Linked DNA regions of Rattus norvegicus. The protein of the gene in region 1 purifies or fractionates together with the protein of each later gene. This does not show direct contact. Links are inferred from orthologs where the notes say so. Each region holds a gene or a part of one and is shown in the gene's direction. Other genes may lie near its edges.

The links.
Region 2: the proteins of Mzt1 (region 1) and Tubg1 purify together in Homo sapiens (affinity purification with mass spectrometry; 4 studies listed by BioGRID and IntAct, counting the BioPlex papers as one, with this or other methods). This does not show direct contact. The link is inferred for Rattus norvegicus from reciprocal best matches to the Homo sapiens genes MZT1 and TUBG1.

The regions. Positions count from the first base shown.
Region 1 is NC_086033.1:82,198,792-82,202,603, reverse strand, and holds part of Mzt1 (mitotic-spindle organizing protein 1), read left to right. Parts: intron 1-2,197; coding exon 2,198-2,343; intron 2,344-3,812. UniProt on the Homo sapiens protein: Required for the recruitment and the assembly of the gamma-tubulin ring complex (gTuRC) at the centrosome.
Region 2 is NC_086028.1:86,551,600-86,556,120, forward strand, and holds the start of Tubg1 (tubulin gamma-1 chain), read left to right. Parts: upstream 1-1,543; 5' UTR 1,544-1,656; coding exon 1,657-1,705; intron 1,706-2,007; coding exon 2,008-2,120; intron 2,121-2,327; coding exon 2,328-2,495; intron 2,496-4,280; coding exon 4,281-4,349; intron 4,350-4,521. Other genes in the region: Retreg3 (reticulophagy regulator 3), read right to left, coding at 1,005-1,243. UniProt on the Homo sapiens protein: Tubulin is the major constituent of microtubules, protein filaments consisting of alpha- and beta-tubulin heterodimers. Gamma-tubulin is a key component of the gamma-tubulin ring complex (gTuRC) which mediates microtubule nucleation.

The DNA.
Region 1 (3,812 bases):
ATGAAAACTAGGGAAAGTTGGATGTTTACATGAATACTACAGTTTTCAGTACTTAGAATTAAATTAGTGATTGACTAAATATTGTTAACTTGCCCATTTCCCCCAAAATAATCCATGGTTTCCTGCAACCAAAGCAGGAATCCCAATAAACTTGTTTTGGAAATTCATGAAAATGTCTGACTTCACCTTGAGAATAAAAAAGGCTTATATGCATGAAAGTGGCAAAAGTATTTAATCTACTCTGTGCAGTATAAAATTAGTAATTAATGATATAGGAATGACACAAATATGCTATATAGACCCCTGAGAACATCTTATGTAGTAAAGGTAGCAATTGCAGTTTAGTGATGAAAGGGTATATCATCCAACAATTTATATTGTGGTGTAACTGGCTTATTTCTGGAGAAAGGGTCTTTTCTTCTACCTACACTACAGGAATTGAATATTTAAATGTTTCTGAAAGGGAGAAGTCAACTTTCAAGTGCTGGACCAGAATAATGATAAATTCTCTTTGCATGGGAAATAACGTCCTAAGTATAATGCAAGGGGAATGTGTACAACAGGTAATCCGTTATCAGTCAGTGTGAATTCTAAGCACATTGTTAGAAACAACCATTCTGTAACAAAGTTAATGTAATTGTGTGTATCCTGTAAGGAGAGGGTCCCCGGAAAAGCCCTTGGGTAACCCAGGTTCTGCTGCTGCTTTTCATGTTGAAGACAGATATTTTAATGGGTTACCAAGAAACGCAGTAGAAAATGAAGTTAGGGTCACATGTTGTGCTCATACATACCTATAGGCAAAACACTCATGCACATAAAATAAATACACAAAGTTTAAAAGTGAAGTTTATACAAGCTTTTATTAATAAGGCCAACAGATGCAGTTATGTCAAATTATGAAGGGTTCTAAAGCTTTAAATGCCTATGTTGCTGAGTATTTCTTTTAGAATTTGTTTTGAAATAAAATTTAGTACATACAGATGTATCACAGTTACCACAGTATTATGTCAGTTGGGAAGTGTGCAGAGAAGCTTAACTGTTAAGGCAGCGCAGAGGTGAGAAGTTGGCATTTCCATCAAAGGCATGTTATGCTGCTATCTTTTAAGTTTTTAAGATTGAGGCACCAGGCTGGCAAAATGGTTTATTAGGTAAAGGCGCCATGTCAGGAAGCCTGACTACCTAAATTTGTTCCCCAGGACCTACATGGTGCAAGGAGTGAATTGTAAGTGGTTCTCAGACCTCTGCTTGTAAACTGTGCCTATGGGAACCCACACATACACACAAGTGCATCAGTCATTCAGTTGCTTAGCCAGCATCAGAGAAGCGTCCTCTGGAGTGTGAGGAAGGGAGATAAACTACAGAGACCAGATAAACTACAGAGACCCACGGCCACATGTTATGCAGAAGTTAGAGTGCTTGGAAGACTCAGACCCGAATGGTTATCTGCATCAAAACCTTTAGCCCAGGAAACCCTGCTGAGGCAGACACCAAGGAAACAGGCCCTCGAGATCAAATGAACTCACCTCTTATGAACTCACAGAGAGTGAAGCGTCATGCCCAGGTCCTGCATGGTCTGCGCCTGGCCTGTGTATATTCTGGCTCTAGTTTTAGTGCTGGTTGGTTTTTTTAAGTGGGATTTCTGAATATCCAAAGGAGTGGGTCTCTGACTCCTCCTTGTGCCTTTTCCTGCGCTCTTTTCCTTGTTTGTTTGAAGCCAGTTTGTTTCCCAGTGCTAATGGAGAGGGAGTGAGATACAAAAGAGGGGAGGAACTGGAAGGAGTAGAGGGAGGGGAAACCAGAACCAGGATTATTGTTCAGATTACGTGAACAATAACCTAGTAAAAGATTTTTTTTAAAAGGATGAATGAAAAGAGTTGAATTTCAAGTTACAAATATCATGTCAAAGTGTTTCCAACAAAGTCTTTAACTTATCTTTTTAACTCTTCAGATTATAATTTGATTACCATATTTCTCTCTTCCTTTCTTCCTTCCACACCCTCCCATAGGTGTGTGCTGTCCCTGCTCTCCTTCAAAGTCAGGGTCTCGAGTGCTTTCCCAGTTGTTACTGCATGCACATGTATATACATAAATATGCCTAAATAAAACCTGTACAGTCCCTTACGAAAAAGAACAGAAGTGCTACATGCATTTTTATTTTTAGTGTTTATGCTTTTTAAAAATTGTTTATCTTTTTCAGTACTGCTTGAGATTTCAAGAATTTTGAATACCGGTTTAGATATGGAAACGCTGTCTATTTGTGTACGGCTTTGTGAACAAGGAATCAACCCAGAAGCCTTATCATCTGTTATTAAGGAGCTGCGCAAGGGTACAGAAGCACTCAAGGTTAGATTTGCATGTTAGTTTGTTATAAATAAAAAGACTATATCTAGAAGCAACTAACAAGTTGTGTGAAAAATCTCTTCTAATGCTATCAGGAGAAAGTCTCAAGACCAGAAGGTGAATGTTCAGACCAGAAAAATTATTGATACACCATGATATCGAAATTTCTCACTATTTTTAGAATTTTTCTGCGTTGACTAGAATTGAGCCTAGTGCCCAATGTTAAGTTCAAGTTCTAATCCTTGGTACCAATGAATCTAACCATATTTGAAAATAGTATCTGTGTGGTCTCTGATTTTTAAACCCAATACAAAAAAGTAGACCAAATATATTTACAGAGTAAATATTGATTTAGAGATACAGAAGGGGCTGGGGAGATGGCTCAGTAAAGTCTCTGAGATGCAAACATGATTTTGATCTCCAGCATCCAATAGGAGTCCGGGTTCAGGAATGTTTCCTGGAGCTGGGGGTGGGGGTGGGGGTGGGACTGGGGGTGGGGGTGGGGGTGGGACTGGGGGTGGGGGTGGAGTCCCGGGGGCTTGCTGGCCAGTTAGTGTAGACCAGTCAGTACAGTCTTCTCTTTGGTAAACCAAGCTGGAAGGCGACTGGAAGACCCGGTGCTGACTGCAGACACACGTGCGCAAACAGAGAGAGCCGTCCATAACCACGGCTGTCACTGCCAGCACTGTAGGAATCCCTCTTCCTCCACAGTCCCCCTTCTCACTTCCCTCCCAGCATCCTGAGTTCTAAAGTAGACATTCATCAGTCTCACTGACTGAGCCAGACGTCTAACAAGTTTACGCTTCATTTAAACAGAATCTTACACTTTCCACTGGGTTCTTCCCTTTCCTGTTAGGTCTACAGTGTTCATTTATGTACATCATACATAAATGTGTACGGTGTCATGTGTCCTTTCGTGCAAATGCATTTCCTTCCACAAATACACAGCAGTGTACCTCTCTGTGCAGAGTGGATGCTGAGTTGTGCTACTGCGAGCCTTATTTAGCATTATTGTAGCTCCTGTCTCTTCATGCTTATACGTGTGCAGTGTTTAGCCATGTACCTAGGCATAAAACGCCTGGGCTGTGGGATGTGTGTCACCATCCTGACAGATCATCCAGCCAAGCTCTCCCAGAACAGGTGTCTTTATTTGTACCTTACCACCTCACACCTTTGCCTTTGCTTCATGTTTGTCAGCGGTCATCCCTGGGAGCCTTAATTTCAGCCATTTCTCGTTAAGGAGCATGGGTGGGACCTTTTTTTTTTTTAATTGCACTTCTGAGTATTTCATACAGTTTTGCCCAGCCTTTTTTAAAATTTACTTGCCTTCTTTGTCATCTTTTTAAAAACTCAGTTTATAGCTGTCACAGCAGGATGTAAAAAACTCTGAAGTAAGTGGTGGTAGTTAAATGAGTACTCCCTGGTACTAGAGAGCCATAGGCTCAGGTTGTGTTGGCGTTACTTCCTCTAGT
Region 2 (4,521 bases), on another chromosome or scaffold:
GGTCGCCTGTTCTAGCTCCAGAACTCCAACATACATACATACATACATACATACATACGCACACACACACACTTTTGCTTTTTCAGGTAATTCAAGATAGTCTTATCTCTTTTGGTTGTAGAGGCCTCAGTACACGTGTCAGTTCCCTTGGAATTTGATCAGTATTATGGTTATTAATAAACCCAAACTATGGTTGGTAGACTCGATGAGGGCCAAACCCCACTCCCAGGTGGTTTCATTATTCAATGAATGAAACGCACACTTTAACATAAAGCCACTTGTCCAGCTAAAGGGACTCCACGGTTCTCAGATACCCTCAAACCCCTTGAGCCTTAAACCATGGCTAAGGTCTTCCTAATTTCTTGGGAGAAGAGTTGCAAACCTAAGTGGCTCTGAAACAAATGAAATCTCATCAGCGTTCTGTAATTCTTTTTCTTCTTAATACCATCTACTTTTCTTTCAAGCTGAAACTCCATACCGACTTCACCAACTTGACTGGGTGAGACAGTATCTAACATGCTAATCCATGATAACCGGCTCAAGCTTGTTTTCCTCCTACACCCCTGGGTACCATTTTTCAAGTCCTGCTGCCTCTCTTCCCACCCTAAGTTAAAATCTCTGGGAATCACACTGGGACAAGCAAGAGAAACGGAGGAAATAAGTCTCAAAGTGAAATCGCTTTCTCTAGCTAACAAGAGGCACTCTGGCTTACTGCGAGCGACTTGGGATGTTACCAGAAGCTCGTGGAGAGTGTCCGGGGCGAGAGTGGGGGCGCGGGGAAAGCGGGGAAGACCGGGGAAGATCGGGAAGGCACTGCGAGCACCCGGGGTGCCAAAGCCTGGAGGCGGACGTGATGTAGGGGAAAGTGAAGCATCATAAGGCAAGTTTAAGAAGCAGTCAGGGCAGCGAAAGAAAACAGGGCAGGGCAGGTGAGAGATAGATCCCCCCAGAGCAACCTGATGAATTCCCGCCTAGTAGGGTCAGCGAGGGTCCAGGTCTCTCACCAGAACGCCGCGTTCAGCCCCAGGCACCACAGGGCGCTCCTGGCCGGCCGCTCCCACACCAGGGCTGCCTGAACCCGGCTCAGCAGAGGCTCGTAAGGCCCCAGCACCTCTACCAGGGCTCGCTGCGCCGCCTCAACCTGCTGGTCGCGCTCCCAGGAGCCGGACATAGCTCGGCGGCCCCTGAAAGCCAACCCCGAAGATGGACCCGGGGCCGCGGCCACCCCTTCAGCCTCCTCCATCTCCCCTCCAGCAGCCACAACATCCGGGGCCACGGCCCGGCAGTCACAATAACACCAACTGCGCAGAAGCGCGATTTAGCTGCGGCCGGGAGGGGAAGGAGAGGGAGTTGCTAAGCCTGTTCGTCCCACGCGCGCGTGCGCATAAACTCCTGTGCGCATTCTCCGGACGGAAGAGAATGTTGCGTCAAAATACGTTCCGGGCGCTGAGCGCGATTCGGAGCCGCGCACGCGCAACCTGCACTACTGAAGCCCAATGAAGGAGGAAATTCCATCTGCGGAGCTTAGCTCCCATTGGAGCGGGGAAAGATCAGGGGTGGAGCGCATTGCCTAGCGCCTGCGTCTTGCGGGCGAGCGCGCTAGCGGTCGGCGGCGTTGCTGGCGGGAGAGACTGCAACGCCTATGTCTGAGGAGCGATGCCGAGAGAAATCATCACCCTACAGTTGGGCCAGTGCGGCAATCAGAGTGAGCGAACCTCCAGACCCTCTGCCTGCCAGGTTCCTTAGGTGCAGTAGGGCCTCGCAATAAGGTCGTAGATTCGGTCTGTCCTCAGAATCCTAGTTCTCCCCGACAAAGGCGTCCTCCAACCCTGTACCCAACTGCCCAAAGCCTATGAACCTTCCCTTGTCCAGTTGCTGGCCTAGACACTAGGAAGTCCCAAGGATAATCTTGATCCCTAGACTCAGGCGTTCAATCCCCCACTGGCTATTTGGAACCTACCCAGACCCACGTATCCTTTTTCTTCTCCTCCCGCCTCCCTCTCTTAGTTGGGTTCGAGTTCTGGAAACAGCTATGTGCTGAGCATGGCATCAGCCCCGAGGGCATCGTAGAGGAGTTCGCCACCGAGGGCACTGACCGCAAGGACGTCTTTTTCTACCAGGTGCCCCCTCCCCCGAACCCACCCCAGTGACTTGCCAGGTCCCTGGGGACATGAAGGTACTGGTGGCGACCTGGTACTGGGAAAGTCACTGGGCAGATGGGAACAGAATGGCTGTCTTGAGGGAGGGCCTGCCGAAACCAGAGTTGGGGGACTCAGGACTTGACTCATCCTAGCTCCCTGGGCCAATCCTGGCTTTCCCTTTGACAGGCAGACGATGAGCATTACATCCCCCGGGCTGTGCTGCTGGACCTGGAGCCCCGGGTGATCCATTCCATCCTCAACTCCTCCTATGCCAAGCTCTACAACCCAGAGAACATCTACCTGTCCGAGCATGGAGGAGGGGCTGGCAACAACTGGGCCAGCGGATTCTCCCAGGTCATTACTGTTCTCCTGCAGGGCTCTCAACTCCTTGGGTGGGCACAGACCCTGTGGTTTTTCTACAGATGAAACTAGGTCAGAGGAGCATGAGTGCTGAAGCAAGATAGCCTTGGCTTCAGGAGCTAACTGCAAGGCTAAGAACCTATTCTAGCTAGTCCCTTGTTGCAGGCCATTTAAGTACTTTATATGTTAGCTTTGCAAACCTCTGACTAACCCTAGATGTAGGCGCTGTGAGTTTATATTTTATCTACTTTTTCAGACTCAAAAAAACCTGAAACCAAAGATATTTCAGACTTCGCTTAGCAAAACCAAAAATCAATAGGGAAAGCTACATTGATGTTTCTAGTCAATGCACTGTCATCAGACGTCTCACTGCAGAAATATTAGCATATCTGATAGCACATCTCAGACCTCCACCGTTGTATGGGTAGTATTGTTTATTTTGTAGCTTCTAGGAATGTGTTGAACATCACACACTAGACAAACTTACACTGCTGAGCTAGACATCACATCCCCAGCCTTCACGTGGTCTTTTTGTTAAATCCGAATATTTATTTCTTTATTTTGAGAGGGTTTCTCTGCGTAGCCCTGGCTGTCCTGGAACTCACTGTGTAGGCCAGGCTGACCCCAAGCACACAAAGATCCACCTGCCTCTGCCTCCCAGATGCTGAGATTAAAGTGTGCACCATCACTGCCCAGCTGATATGCAGTTTACATTTGTATATACAAAGCTACCTTTCGGAACCAGAAGTATTTTGATTTCTTTTTTTTTTTTTTCTTTTTTCTTTTTTTCGGAGCTGGGGACCAAACCCAGGGCCTTGCGCTTGCTAGGCAAACGCTCTACCACTGAGCTAAATCCCCAATCCCTGATTTCTAAAAATAGCTGGCACCATGAATATTACATGATGGAGTGTGGACCTCTGTTTACCTTTATTTTATAAATGAGGAAACTGAAATAGATCCCTCTTCCTGAAGTCACATGACTAGGTGACTTCAATTGGTAGAAAGAATGCTTTTCTAGGATGTATGAAGCCGCGGCTTCAGTCCTTAACACTGCATAAAACTGGGCAGCCTGGGGGCTGGGGATTTAGCTCAGTGGTAGAGCGCTTGCCTAGGAAGCGCAAGGCCCTGGGTTCGGTCCCCAGCTCCGAAAAAAAGAACAAAAAAAAAAAAAAAAAAAAAAACTGGGCAGCCTGATACTTACTGGAGGTGAAGCAGAAGAGCCAGTATGTGAGGGTTATCCTCAGCTAAACAGAGAATTAGATGCCAGCCTTGGCTACATGAAACTCTGTCTCCCAAAAAAAAAAAAAGAGAGAGAGAGAGAGAGAGAGAGAGAGAGAGAAAGAAAGTAGAGCCCTTGCTAGCATAAGCAAGGTCCTACCCGGGCTCCAGCAGTTCAAACCTGAGTGTGAACAGATCAGCTTGGTTGGGTTGTAAATTACTTGCCTGTAACCACTGTTGTAGTACCTCTCAGTGCAAAGCAAGGCAGCTATGATGCATGTAAGACTCAAGGGCAGAGGGCTGGACAGACAGCTCAGCAGTTTAGAGCACAGAGGTCCTGAGTTCAATTCCTAGCAACCACATGGTTTCTTACAACCATCTGTAATGGGATCTGATGCCCTCTTCTGAGTGGTGCTGTCTCTTGTCATATAGGCATACATATAGAGTACTCATATACATATGCGTGTGTGTGTGTGTGTGTGTGTATAAATAATCAATGGTGGGTACACTGAGGTCAAGGTCAATTCCTGTCCCACCTCACCCTCTTCCATATCTGTCCAGGGAGAAAAAATCCACGAGGACATTTTTGACATCATTGATCGGGAGGCAGATGGCAGTGACAGCCTAGAGGTGAGTGTCCCAGGAATGTCAGTGGAGGTGGACATGTAGAGACTTGGCAACACCATTTAGAAATCCCCTGCTCTGGGCCGTTGAGATGGCTGAGCAGGTGACGATGCTTGCATTCAAGCTTGACAACCCAAGTGTGGTCCGTAAGACCCATGGTAGAAAAAGAGAACTGATT